Linked DNA regions of Rhinolophus ferrumequinum. The protein of the gene in region 1 interacts with the protein of each later gene in a pairwise test. Links are inferred from orthologs where the notes say so. Each region holds a gene or a part of one and is shown on either strand. Other genes may lie near its edges.

Region 1 (7,572 bases):
GATGCTGACAGAGTCAGGAGAGAAGGCTGGGCTGGTTCTGCACCAAGGCCAGTGACAGCTCCTGGGCCCAACTCCCTGCTGAAATCCCTGGCGGCGTCAGACAAATGCCTGAGCTTTGCACCATCCAACTGGACGAAGTATAAATAATCATACTCCAAAAGAAAGAGAATGAAAGAATTCAGAATTCAAGAATTACTGTATGACCCTGCAATCCCTCTCTTGGGTATCTACCCAAAAAATCTGAAAACATTTATCCATAAAGACACATGTGCTCCAATGTTCATTGCAGCTTTATTTACAGTGGCCAAGACATGGAAACAACCAAAATGTTCTTCAATGGATGAATGGATAAAGAAGTTGTGGTATATATACACGATGGAATACTATTCGACGGCAAGAAAAGATGAAATAGGACCATTTGTGACAACATGGATGGATCTTGAGATTATAATGTTAAGTGAAATAAGTCAGACAGAAAAAGCAGAGAACCATATGATTTCACTGATATGTGGTATATGAACCAAAAACAACAAAAGAACAAGACAAACAAATGAGAAAAAAACCTGATAGACACAGGCCGGCCCGGTGGCTCAGGCGGTTGGAGCTCCATGCTCCTAACTCCAAAGGCTTCCGGTTCGATTCCCACATGGGCCAGTGGGCTCTCAACCACAAGGTTGCGGGTTCAACTCCTCGAGTCCCGCAAGGGATGGTGGGCTGCACCCCCTGCAACTAGCAATGGCAACTGGACCTGGAGCTGAGCTGCGCCCTCCACAACTAAGACTGAAAGGACAACAACTTCACTTGGGAAAAAAAAAAGTCCTGGAAGTACACACTGTTCCCCAATAAAGTCCTGTTCCCCTTCCCCAAACAAACAAACAAAAAAAACCTCATAGACACAGACAATAGTTTAGAGGTTACCAGAGGATTAGGGGGGAGGGGGGAGGATTAGGGGGGAGGGGGGTGGTAGATGAGGGTAAGGGGGATCAAATATACGGTGATGGAAGGAGAACTGACTCTGTGTGGTGAACACACAATGTGATTTATAGATGATGTAATACAGAATTGTACACCTGAAATCTATGTAACGTTACTAACAATTGTCACCCCAATAAGCTTTAATTAAAAAAAAAAAAAAAGAATTCAGAATTCAACCAGGCAGGAAAGCAATTAGTTGAAAGAAGTTAGCCTCTGCCCTATGGAGGGTTCCAGATTCAAAGCAAATGAAGGAATTACCGAAAGGTATAAATTGAACCTGAATAACCATCACCCCCTCTAAATGGCATGGATGCTAAAATTAAAAATAGAATGGCATTTAAAATCACTCCCCAACATGAAATATTTAGGTATAAATCTCACAAAACGTGTGTTAAGACTTAAATGCTGAAAGCTACAAAAGGCTGTGAAAGAAGATCTAAGTAAATGGAGAGACATACTATGTTCATAGATTGGAAAACTCAACGTAAAAAAGATGTCAATCCTCCCCCAAACTGATATTTAGGTTTAATGCAGTTACTATCAGAATCCCAGCAAGATTTCTGTCGATACAAGCAAGATTATTCTAAATTTTTCTATGAAAAGGCCAAGGAACTATAATAGCTAAAAACACTTTTGAAAAAGAAAAACAAAGGGGGAGCAACCATTCTACCCAATTTCAAGAGCTGGCTACCGTCATCAAGATTGTACTCTGTTGGTCGATAGACAGACAGATCCATGGAGCAGAATAGAGAACCTAGAAATAGCCCCACGCAAGTATGGCCAACTGAGTTTTTGACAAAGTTACTAGAGCAATTCAGTGGAGCAAGGATCATCTTTTCAACAAACAGTGCTGGAGCAAGGGATATATCTTAAAATAAATGGTGTTTTCAATTCAATAAAATACAGCATCTCTTGTACACCTACTCTGCTCCAGACACTAGTCAACGCAGTAGGGGTATAGCAATGAACAAAGGGAAGTCCCTGCTCTTGTGGTGCTGCCATTCTCATGATCCTGGCCCCAGGGAGAAATCCTGCATGCTGGAGAAGGAATGTGGGCACCTGAGGTCAAAGATAGGGTAGGAGCCCCCTCCAGGAAAGGAATGCAAGGCCATTGAACTTCATCTGGCTGGGTCCCTTTCCTTTTCTTACAGATGGCATAGTGGAAGGTTGCCAGCTTCCGAGGCAGACTGACCTGTATTTCACCTCCTGTCTCTGCCTGTGACGTAATGCTCATCTGTCAGTGAGAACAGGTGTCCTCACTTCATCAAGTTGTTGTGGGGTTGACAAACGGGGGTGCAATAAATTGGTGCAGCGTGGGGCCTGGTGCATGTTCAAGTGATGATATTGCCCTGTGTGCCCATGTGTCCTTCCAGAACCTGGAAGTGTTCTGCAGAGAAGAGCAGAGAGAGGTGCTGGGGGCGGGGCACGGCTGTTGGAGCAGAGAGAGGAAGAAAGGACCCTCCACTGCCCCACCTGCTATAGGCACCAGTGCTTAGCCAAACACCTTAGGAGGAGGGGAGATTCCCCAGTTTCGGCCAGTCTGGACGATCTAGACATACTCCCAATTTTCTATTTGAAGTTATGGATAGGCTGGGGGCTCTTTGTGCTAGAAGGAGTGATGGTTTATGTGGGTTCCAGTTATACCTCTGGAAAAATGAAACAGTAGAGGAGGGTAACAACCATCTCTACTGGGGAAAAAAGCTCCATGAAGGCAGGATTTTTGTCTGTTTTGTTCACTTTGTATCCTCGGTGCCTAGAACAGTGCCTGGTAAACAGGAGGCACTCAGCAAATACTTGTTGAATTAAGGAAACTGCTTTGGCTTATTCTTTTTGTGGCTTATTCACAACAAATTTAACCCCCAAAATGCTGAAGAGAAAAGGGGGAGAAAGAAAAAGAAAAAAAGCAGCCCAGGAGAACTAACACTTGGGGTAGAGCCCAACCTTCCGGCTGACATGCTGTGTGACAGGGGGCATGCCACAACCCCACTCTGTGCCTCAGTTTCCCAACCACAGAATAAGGACTGGATTTGGTGTTCTTGAGAGCCCTCCTAACTCTGACAATTGACAGCTTCCTCCTCCAGCCTCCTTTAGAAGCTCAAACTAGTCCTAATCATATGACGAGCCAGAGAAACTGGGTTTATTAAGACCTACTGTGTGCAAATAGTCATGTGGATGCATCAGAGTACCAGGTCTGGCCATGTCATCTACTGGCACAGAAAATGGGCTTTGAGCCTAGAAGAAGTGGTTTGGATCCCAGATCCCCACTTTATGGGTTATCGGGCCGTGGGGTACCATTTAGCTTCTCTGAGCCTCAGTGGTCTCATCTATAATGTGGGCATCATGATGTGACCTACCTCAAGGGTCCTCATGGGGCTGCTGCATGAAGCAGGATTGGAACTCAGTCCTGCCTAATCCCACAGCCTGGCTCTTAACGAATGAGGCAAATGCTTTGTTTCAAAGCCAGAGCAAATAAAAGCACACACACACAATCTCCAACCCCCAAACGTGCTCTGCTCATTCCAGATCCCCATGCACGCCTCTTCTGGGTATTCCCTGCTGGAACCATCAACCCACTAGCAGGGAGAGCCTGGCACCAATGGCCCAGGTGCAAGCACAGCTCTGTGGTCGAGTGAGTGTCCTGTGGGCAAGCGTGGCCCACTGCAATGTCTAGTCTGACACCCAGAGGCCCTAGCGAGACGCAGCCATCCTGGAGTGTACAGGAAACACTGGCTCCCTGCTCTGCCACACACAAGCTGTGGCACCTTCGGCAAGTCGCCTTTCTTCTCTGAGCCTCTATTTTCCCTTCTATAAAATGGGTAGTAATAATAAACCCCTTTATACTTTGTATTGTAGTAATATGTAGATGTGATAAAGTCAGAAAAGCTTGTGTCACGTGGACAGGCAACTAATGCATGTCGTAGACTGAAGCAGGATGCCTTTGGTTCAAATTCTGGCTCTACCGTTTTGTAGCTGTGTATCCTCTCTGAACCTCAGTCTCTTCTTCTGTAAAATGGGATAGTAATGGTATTGATGTCAGAGAGCTGCTGTAAGAATGAGATGAGGGAATAATAATATCACCTACTTCGCAGGCTTGCCTTAATGAATTATCCCAGTGAAGTGCAGAGAAAGGTGCCCAGCACATAGAAAACACCCAAGAAGGGTGAGTTGTCATGTGGGTGACTCAGCCTGGGGAGAACTGTCCCAAGGCAGGTTAGTCTTTGCATGTGTAGCCCGGCATGTGACCTCTTGCCTAAAATCTCCCAACCACCCTGCGATTCTCGCCTTCTCCTCTCTGACAGCCTGTTTGCATAGTTATGCAAGGTTGGCTGGATCCAGGTGTTCGTGACCCCAGGCAGGCATGGGGTTATGCGCATGACAACCCAGACCTGCACCCCCACACCCAGGCTTCCTGAACCCTCTGCCCTTCCTGGAAAACTGACAGAGCCAGCTTGTCACTGATTCTGGCACTGACGCCGATGAAGTCGAGGGGCAGCTCTGAGAGTACACACCTGAGACCTGAGTGGGGAGGGGCTAAGCTGCTGGGCCACAAACCACAGGTGCTGACTCATGGCCTTCAACGGGCAGGATAAAAGAACTAGCCCAGGGACTTCCTGCAGCTGCAGGGACGAGCTGACCGGACGATGGCCCAGGGGACAGTGATCCATGTGGCCCCAGAGCAGCCCACCCATGCTGTGTGTGTGCTGGGCACCAGTACTCAACTGGATGTCTACAGGTGAGTGGGGACGTCTCAGGGGTGGGGGGCAGGTCCAGTCATGCTGGGTGAACAGGTTCTGATGGCACAGGATGTGTGGTGGCTCAGGCTTCAGGCTCCAGCCTCTACGGCGGCTACCAGCTGGAAACATGAGACCTGAGCAGCCCCAAGACATTCCTGGACTCAGGACAGTGGATTCTTTGCCAGGGCCTCACCACAAATAAATTATTACAGGGCAAACAGAACCATCTCCTTCCATTATTGAGGCAATGGAAGCTCAGAGAGGGTCTGTGACTTGTCTAAGATTACACAGCACGTGTGCCTTGGAAGCAAGGCTAGACCCTGGACTTTACAACCCATATACCTGGTTCATGGTGCAGTTTGTGACCCCACACCTCTCAGGTAAGCCTCCCTCTGTGGGGGCATAATGGTGTGGGTGTAATGAGACAGGCTCTGACACAGGAAAGGCTGAGGTGGGAAACCTGGCCCTGCTCTTAGCTATCTGGGCTGCTTTGGATAACTGAGCTTCAGTTTCGTCATTTGTGAAATGGGATTAATACTCACTTCATAGGGAGGTTAAAGAAATGTGAAAAACCAGGTAAATGTTTGTTAAGTACTTAGCACAGTGCTGGGCATATCCCTGGTACTTGTTCATTCATTCATTCATTCATTCATTCATTCATTCATTCAACAAATACCAGTTGAATACCTGCTATGAGCCAAGCCCTGTGTGAAACGAGATGGTCTAGGAAAGCTCTCAGCAGGTGCACATGGTTGGCATCATTGTTGTTTGTTAGTAACAGTACTGGCAGCCCCTGGCTTCCTCCATCCCAGGCTGGGCATCTGTGGTCCAAGAATGGCACCCACAGGAAAGTCTGGGGCATCTCCTTAAAAGTGTCACTTGTTGCCTGAACCAGGCAGCGGGAGAACAGCAGTAAATGTCTGGGTGTCTTCCCAGGACATAGAGGGGAGGCAGGACACTGAGAGGGTGAGGTGTCAAGGAAAGAGAGAGCGGGCCTGATGTCATCGGAGGGCCTCTCCCTCAGTGAGACATTGAGCCCAGCCATTCAACCCCCTAAGATCTCACATAATAATGGCCGACATTTACATCACACTTCCTACACATAACTCTTTCAACAGCCTTTACTGTTATTCCCACTTTACAGAAGGAGAAGCTGAGGCTCTGAGAAAATTGAGTAACCCACCCGAAACCACACAGCTAGTAGGTGAGGGAGCCAGGATTCAAACCCCTGCAGCCTGGTTCCGAAATCTTCCTCCGTTCCTGGACCAGCCTGTCCCGTCACCTCTAACTTGCCTTTCATAGCAGTCCCCAGCCAGTGCCTTTGGCCCATCTCCTGAACAGCCACCACTCTCGCTGTGGCCTGAATTCTCCTTCTGGAACACATCTGGGATTGGTACGCCCTGCTCAGCAGCATGGCCTTCTCGACCCCCTCCCAGCACATGCATGCCTCCACACCCTTGCTCAGGCTGTGCCCTCTGTCACTGGTCTCAGAGCCCCCAGGGTTAGAAAGACAAGGTCATAGAGGCAGGAACAGACCACAAGTGTGCGGACTCCTATTCCAGATCTGCTCTTACAACCTCTGCTTGTAGTTTTCATTCTGTGTTTGCAAAGTACTTTTCCTATAGTGGGAAGTACATTGGTTATATTCAAACAAAATTCCACTGACCTGAGATGAACATGAAAACCTATCCAGGGCCTTCTGTGATGCTTGTGGCTACGGTCAGGGTGGTATCATGACCCCAGCTACTATGTGCCAGGACCTTCTGTCATGATTTCTAATACTCACAGGAACTCTATCATCATGCCCATTTTAGAGATGAGTAAACTGAGGCTTCGAGAGGTGAAACCACCTATCCAAGGTCACACAAATCAAAGGTGGCAAAGCCAGGAGATTTGAACCCAGGACCATCTGATCCTAAGTCCACCTGTCTCCACAGCACACACTACCTCCAAGTGCTGAGGGGCTGGCCTCGCTAGGCACTGCTGCCTGGTTGGTGGAGATCATGCAGCTTCCATAGGGCTTAGAAAAGGCTTAGAATGGTGTGGGGGCATCTAGAAGTTGCCGACCACAGAAGATGGTGGGCATTCTGAAGCTGCCAGCCATGGGCTTCTCCTCTTTCTTCTAGGGTCTCCTTCTGAACAGGAGACCACTCAGTGTGACGGGGGGAGCATGGAGAAATCTGTTAGTGTCTCTGGGCCTCAGTTTACCCATCTGTAAAATGGGAAAATTAACACCCACCCTGCTGGGTTTTGGTAAGGATGAAATTATAAAACGCAGGCCAAGTGTCCGGCAGAGTGGTCCCCGTTTTCTGTAAGGACAGCATGTGCCACTGAACATGAGAGTGTGGCAGACACTAAGTGTCGCCCAACTGCTGGTCATTGGTAAGGAAATGTTGGATGCAGAAGTTGGAGGGATGATGTCACTTGTCTCGGGCCAAGATCTCAGTGCTGCCTCTACAGAGGCCATCGGAAGTTACAAGGAGACTCAGCTCCAGATTATCTTGTAATAACACACGTGGGCGCCGCCGCCACACAGTGGAAAGGCCCGTATAGGTATGAAAGTCCCTAGAGTCAAATCCCAGTGGTGCCACTTCCCAGCTGGGCCTCACCTCTCTGCACCTCAGTTTTCCCATCTGGCAGAAAGGTGGCGGTGAAGCCTGGAGATTGTGGCTGTAACGCCCTGGCAGGTGGCAGACCCACCTGTCTGCATTCTTCTCCCTGCCCCGGGCAGGAAGCCACTCAGGGCAGAGCGAACCTAGGTGGCCATCTGCCTTCCAGCCTCATCACGTCTTAGTGCCTCACATAAGAAACCTGGGCGTTCCTCTCCTCCAGTCGAGCAAGTCTATTCACTCTGGCACCGCCT
Region 2 (7,355 bases), on another chromosome or scaffold:
CAAAAGCTCTCAGTCCAGTTCAAACATAACTGAACACTAACAAGTTACTCTCATAAAACCAACAACAGGCCTTAAATAAAAATCCTAAATTCCTAGGGAAATTAAACTTTATTTTTATTTGTTTGATTTACATATATTGTGAAATGATTGCCACAATAGGTTCCGCGAACATCCAACATCTCATAGATATAATAAAAAGAAAAGAAAGGAGAAGAAATGTTTTTCTCCTCGTGAAAAGAACTCTTAGGCTTTACTCTCTTAACATCTTTCCTATATATCATACAGCTGTGTCAGCATATTGTACATTATATCCCTAGTACTTATTTATCTTAGGGAAATTAATCTAAATATAGTGAGCCACCTTGGTTTCAATTAAGTACAAAAACAAACAAAAAATATTTTGTTGGAACTCCATATTGGTCTAGAGGTGTTAAGCACTGCAAAATTATAGGGTAAATTGGATGTGATAAGTATAATAAAGAACTTGAGAATGGGGACAGTTTCAGCATTTATCATATTACCTAGAATTTATAGTATACTGACAGGCCTAAATTCACATAAGTCCTATGTTTTTGCTAATGCTTTATCAGGCATACACATAGTCATAGAAGTGTTTCTAACGCTTAGTTTGTCAAAGCAAGGTCCAAGAAACACCTGAATTATAATCATCCAGGAGGCTTATTAAACAGGCAGATTTCTGGGCCCAACCCTGTCAATCTAGATATAAAATTTGGGGAGTTGGGCAAAAATCTGCATGTTGTGCAGGCTTCCTGGAGATGTACCTGAAGTTTGGAAACTATGGCTTTAGAAGTCGTGTTAGTTTAGCCTTCTACCCCTTCACAGCTCCATCAGAAAGGGGAGGTGGAGCCCCTGCCTAGATACCTCTGGTGAGAGAGCTCCCGCCAACTCCAAGCCCACCCAGCCTACCCAGGGTTTCAAAAGTCACTTCCTTAAATTCATCCAGAAGCTACCATCCAAAAAACTCCTACCCAGCTCTGCCCAGTGCCACAAAGAATGAGTTGATTCCCTCATCCACCAGCCAAGCCCTTCAAGCATTTAGGGCTATTAAAATATGTCCCCACACCCACCTCAATCTACCCTCTCTAGTTGAAACAGCTGCAGCTCTTTCACATGTCAGCTTGACAAGAAGAAAGTTAAAGAGGAAGAGAAAAATATTTGGTCAAGATTTAGTCAATAAGCCAGGAAGCCACAAACCCAAACCTCACCTCACTATGAACTGAGCACTGATGGAGCCACAGTAGGGCAGAGAGACTACATTGTTTATAAGTGGTCTGACCTTGACCAAGGACCACAACTTGGAACCTTGGGATCCTCATCTGTAAAACAAGGTTAATAACCCCACTTCAGGTTGAAATAAAGATTAAAGGAGTAACCTAAGATGACTGTTACTCGAAGTCCCTCCAGGGAGGACACTGGAGCGCCAGCAAACTGCTTCCAGAAGTAGCCCTAATTGCAGTGAAAGCAAACCCTCAAGGATTAGATTTGGGCCAAATCACAGCTGAAGGCCCATGTGATTTTTCTTTTTTTTTTGACATTTCTTGTTTTATATTAAAAAGGTATCTAAACTTTGAATTCTACTCCAGAATGTATCTATGAGGGTATAAAAAAAGTGTTTTTATCCTCAAATATTTCGGTAAATTTGACACCCAAGGAAAAATCCCCTCCAGGTCTTATTTATTCTGAAGCTTCAGGTACTCCCTGGCCACCGCCTACCATTTGCAGTGCCTGCCAGTCACCTCCATCTCCCTTGGAGAAGAGCAGGCTTAGTTTACAAAGAAGAGGAGCAAGATGGGGAAAACAAATGAGAAATAAGCAAAGAAACGGGCCATAAGACATGAGTCTGGGGAGGACCAGAAGCTCAGCCTTCAGCTATTGAGGGCTGATGTGCTCGGTGACTGTGCACGATACGCTATAAAGTGCGTGCGGAGAAAAATGATCCCTAACAAATGCAAGAACGTCTAGGAAGGAAATGCCCTTGATTCAGTAGTTGTGTGTTTGCACATGACCGTGTGTGTGTGTGTGTGTGTGTGTACATGTGTATGTCCCCAAAGCAATAGAAATCTGACCTAAGCTGAATGTAGGGGCTCTGGCCTTGGCTAGACAGGGCTCTGGGAAATAAATAGGTCTTGGGTGGCAATGGTTACCCATTTCTGATTCCTGTCCCCTTTCTCTTCTGCTTGCTCCAAACAACTCACAGAACACTTGCATCAACTTAGGAGCACTTAAAGGTGGGCAAATTGTTGAAAAGCAATCACCTCTTTGGTCCCAAAGTCTCCAGCTGGTAAAAGCCATGACAAAATAACGAAACTGAGCCACTGACGGACTGAAGTCTTGGATCTCATTAAATAATAACAGATCCCCATGTGTCAGGCATTGTGCTGATGGCATTAGATATTCCAGAAGGTGAGAAAAAGTAAGAAATTAGGAGAAAGGAGTCAAGTTCTTAAAAGGAGCAAGGAGAGAATTAAAAAGTAAAATTTGGGTGTTGGACTGAGTAAATTTCACGGAATATTAACTCAGTCCTTTGCTTCCAATGACCAAACCCAGCATAGTGCTTGGCACGTGAACTCAATACATAACAGCTGTGGTCCCTGATTGGCATCCTGTATAAACCGCTGTGGAGGGCCTTCTGGATCAAGGCCGTGTTTGCCTCCCTCTTCTCCACAGGGAGCAAGTCCCGGGCCGCCCGCGGCCTCCCGTCCACCCAATGCTGCCCCAGTCACGCTCGCAGGAGGGCGGCGAGAACCCTCCGCGGCGCGGCGCAGGCGGGGCAGGCAGTCCCCGCGAGGCTCCCCTTCCCCGAGCCCAAGACCCCGCGCCCGGGGCCCCCTTACCTCTCTTGCCGAGAAGAGGCGGCGGTTGTTCTCAGTGGCCACGGAGGTCACACCCTTGTCCCGGCCAGGCAGCGGGTCTTATCCCCGGCGGACCCGCCCCACTTCGGGGTGGAGACTGAGCCCGAGTTCCTGGTTGTTCCTCTGCCCACGAGACCGGAAAATCCTCCCGAGCAGAGCGCACCTGGAGCGGGGCCCCGGACCGCCTCGCCCCCGGGCCGGGGGCTGCACAGGGCACGTGCCTGCCCCCTGGGCGGCGGCCAGTCCCGCTCTCCCGGCGTCCGATCACGCACCGGCCAGCCCGCTCCTGTCCCGCGGAGTCCGGGCCCCTGCACTGTCCACTTTTCGAGGGCCTGGGCGCCCCAATCCCCGTACCGTAGGTCCCAGCCCCCGGGTCTCTCCCGTCCCGCTGTGCGCCCGCCGTGCCCAGCTCGGCGCTGGAGTCCGGAGTCCCGCGGCGAGTCAAATCTTCCTCCTGGGGAAACTGCACCTACTCGGTCAACATCTGGGTTCACGCCTAAACCGGCCCGAAAAGGGGAAAGTCAAATCAGAGTGGCTCATTTCGTTTCCCTCTTGCGCGTTAAAACATGCATTCCAAAGAGTTCCTAATAGTTCCACATCTCCCTAGAGGAAAACCGAGTTCCCTTTCCTTGGGGAAACCTTTGGGGATAGGAGTTAGCAGGAACCCCGGATCTTTCTGCTTTCACCTGTTAAATTACCAGGGTTTGGTGCTCATCAGCAGCTACTGGGTGCTCTGCGCAGCACTCGCCCTTCTAATACAGTTTAACGTGTTCCTATCTGTCTCCCTGACACAAGCCTCCTGAAGGCACCAACTGAGTCTGGGTGGTCTTTGCACCCGTGCCCAGTACTATTTCTGGCACACAGTAGGTGCTCAGGGAATGCTTGCAGAATGAATCCGTGGAGTCTACAGGCAAATTCCGATTTTATTTAACAAAGGGTAGGTAGCTTTGGGAAGTGTGTTTGCTATCCAACAGACCAAAATCCAAGTGGCTATTCGCATCTTTAAAGCAGGAGGGGTAGCATTAAGTGATTTCATTCAGATGTAGCTAAAGGAGGTGGGATGACAAAGTTAAAAGCAAGGTTCAAACTGATGTGGATTCTAGACCTGCTTTTCTCGTGCTTGAAAACTTAGTTTCTGCACTTCAGTGTATTGAACTAAGGAGAAAACAAAATTAACAAGACAAACAGAAAAAAAGAGTGAAATACAGACAATTCATCTCCTCAGAGAGATCAGAGAGACTATTGCATCCCTTTAAAAATAACAAATTAGCTACCTTAAAAAAAAAAAAAAGGTGAGGAATGGAGCAAATGCTGTTAGCACCTTGACAAGATCACTTACTAGACCAGGTTGGGAAGCCACAGTCAGAAGCTAACATTAATGGGGTACAAAAGGCCAGGGATAAACCTGTGATACCCTTCGTATTCCAGATCTCCCACTGGCTTACGGTGAGGCTAAATCTCAGCAGAAACCACATCTTTGCTCTACTTCCTCCTGTGCACTACCCTATTTCTCTCACTTACAGGTTTCTCCTGAGAATATTCCCTCGCCAAGGTACTTACACAAGAATCCCTATCTCAGGCTCTGCTTCCAGGAACCGGATCTAAGACGGGGTGTTTTAAAAATTAATATAACTGTTGAAATGAAAGACTCAAAGGAGGCCTTAAATTAAAGACAGCAGAATTAACACATGTATTTGCTTCAGCTCCCTTTGGAGATCCACCTAAAACAATAGTAGTTTTGTTTTGTTTTGTTTTTAATTTCATAAGGACAAGGGGAAAAGAGAGGAAAATAATAACAAAACTTTGGAAACGGGAAAGTAGTTAGACAGGTGATAATGGACTTCGCAGACTTGAGAAAACTGACTCCTAAGACAGGAGTAGGGAAAGGTGAGAAGTAACACGATATTGTAGAATATCTCAGGATACCCAGGAATTTGCTACACCAGGTACTTCTGAAAGTGGGTATGTAGTAAAAACAGGAGGATTTTTTTGTAAGTCTGTACAGGAAGCCATCAGACTCCTCCACCCCTTCCCACACTGCACAGCTGGTACTGCTTCTCCCCAACTTGGGCAGAAGATTGGAAACATCCTCTGGAGGGGATAAAGCAGAGGATCTCTGGCATGGGACATTCCAGGTGTGGTTAAGATGTTCTGGTTATCGAAGGCTGCCTAACAAACTATCCCCAAACTTGGTGACTTAAAACAATGACCATTGTATTATGTCTCATGATTTTGTGGGTATGAATTTGGACAGGGCTTGCCTCGGCAATTGTTCTGTTCCATGTAGTATCAACAAAGGTCACTTGGTGGTATTCAGCTGGCAGAGAGGCCAGTCTGGAGGATTCACTCACATGTCCAGCATGTGATATACTGGCAAGGATAGCTGGAAGGCTGGTCTCAGCAGGCACTGTCCACCAGAGCACCTACGAAGTCAGACAATTCAGTTCGCGAATTCATCCTAGAAAAAGTGCTGCACACCTCATTGCTGAATATCACTGCGGTCACCTTCGAAGAACTTTCCTTGAGAAGCGATGCACTGACGCCAGCGCCTAGTCCACCCTTCAAAGCAATTTTGGAATTCTTTTTCTGGAATGGCCATCAGAGCTGTCATCATATTACCCTTGATGTCCTGAATGTCATCAAAATGTCTTCCTTTCAGTATTTCCTTTATCTTTGGGGAAAGAAAGAAGTCATTGGGGGCCAGGTCAGGTGAGTAGGGAGGGTGTTCCAATACGGTGATTTGTTTACTGGGTAAAAACTCCCTCACAGACAGTGCCATGTGAGCTGGTGCATTGTCATGATGCAAGAGCCATGAATTGTTAGCGAAAAGTTCAGGTCCTCTAACTTTTTCACGCAGTCTTTTCAGCACTTACAAATAGTAAACTTGGTTAACTGTTTGTCCAGTTGGTACAAATTCAGATTGAATAATCTCTCTGATAGCAAAAAAGGTTAGCAACAGTGTTGCAACAAGTTCACAAACTTAATTGTCAGACCTCCTATGCGTCTTCCCTCCACATGACACTCTCCACATAGTCAGATTTCCTACATGAAGGCGCAGGGATTCCACAAAGGATACTCCAAGAGATCCAGGAAGAATTTACAGATTTTCTTATTATCTAGGCTTGGAAGCCCCTGAATGTTATTTCTATTGCATCCTATAGGTCATGCAAATTATTGGGTTGGTGCAAAAGCAATTACGATTTAAAAGGTTAAAAATAATTGCAAAAACCGCAATTACTTTTACACCGACCTAATACTAACGCCAGCCTAGGTTCAAGGGAAGGACAATTAGGTTCTATTCCTGACTGGGGGGGACTCACAAAGAAAATTGCCACCACCTTTAATCTACCACATGAGGATAGGGGAACTATACTGAAATTGAAGATCTATATGAAACTTAATATGATAAATATTGAGCAGCTCAGTTTTCTTCACTTGGCTACTAGAATACTGGCAGCTAAGATGGGGAGTTTGGAATATTGTACTCTTCTTTGGGGAGGAGTAAGGATCTAAAGAGACTATCATCTTACTGAATGAAACTGGAGGAACCCTTTCGTGGACTCACTTTAGTCAAGCCCCACCCACATATACACACGTATGAAATTTGCAGGCAGCATTTTAGATCTCTCTTAGGGTTGTACAGTAAAATATAGGGCACTTCATTAAATTAAAATTTCAGATAAACAAAAAATAAATTTTTACTAAGGTATAAAATACTTATATATTATAACTATGTCCTAAATATTGCATGGGACACATTTATGCTAAAAAATGTTTATCTAAAATTTAAATTTAACTAAGTATTCTATTGTTTTATTTTGTTTTGCTAAATCTGGCACTCTTAGATAAGAGCGGACAACTGAAGGACATCAGAATTTAAAGGAAGAATATGACATGAAATGTAGAACAGAAAAAAAAAAAGAAACTTGGGGGAAAAAGACCATATATGGAGAGAAAAAGAACTTTGAACAATCTATTACTGATCTCCCTTGAGAAATAAAACAGAATAAAAATAGAATAGATTCTCCAAAAAATGAACACTCAGAAAACCAAACATAGCTCTTTTAAACTAAAAATGTGATAGCAAAAATGAAAAACTCAGTAGAGTGGTAGGAAGACAAAGTTGACGAAATATCCTAGAATATATAGACAAAATGCAAAAAGAAGAGAAAGAGGCATGAAAGGATGAGAAAATTAAAAATCCAGTCCAGGACTTTTGGGAAACAGAGGAGAAGAAATCAACTAAATAATTCAATTATATATTTTTAGAAATAAAGGACATGTGTTTCCACATTGAAAGTGCTTGCTGAGCCCAGCACAATGGACAAAAACAGAACAAGGAACATCATGATAAAATTTCGGAAGACTGAAGACACACAGATGATCTTACAAGCACCCAGAGAGAAAGATGAGGTTTCATATAAAGGATCAAGGACCAGAATGGCATCAGATCTCTCTGTAGCAACACATGAAACTGGAAGA

The links. The genes of interacting proteins can lie anywhere in the genome.
Region 2: the proteins of PADI4 (region 1) and ANXA4 interact in binary tests that used the Homo sapiens proteins (3 or more experiments, as listed by UniProt). The two-hybrid records come from large-scale screens. The link is inferred for Rhinolophus ferrumequinum from reciprocal best matches to the Homo sapiens genes PADI4 and ANXA4.

What each region holds. Positions count from the first base shown.
Region 1 is NC_046292.1:11,371,861-11,379,432, forward strand, and holds the start of PADI4 (protein-arginine deiminase type-4), read left to right. Parts: upstream 1-4,519; 5' UTR 4,520-4,616; coding exon 4,617-4,708; intron 4,709-7,572. UniProt on the Homo sapiens protein: Catalyzes the citrullination/deimination of arginine residues of proteins such as histones, thereby playing a key role in histone code and regulation of stem cell maintenance.
Region 2 is NC_046296.1:21,137,712-21,145,066, forward strand, and holds the start of ANXA4 (annexin A4), read right to left. Parts: upstream 3,010-7,355; 5' UTR 2,856-3,009; intron 1-2,855. UniProt on the Homo sapiens protein: Calcium/phospholipid-binding protein which promotes membrane fusion and is involved in exocytosis.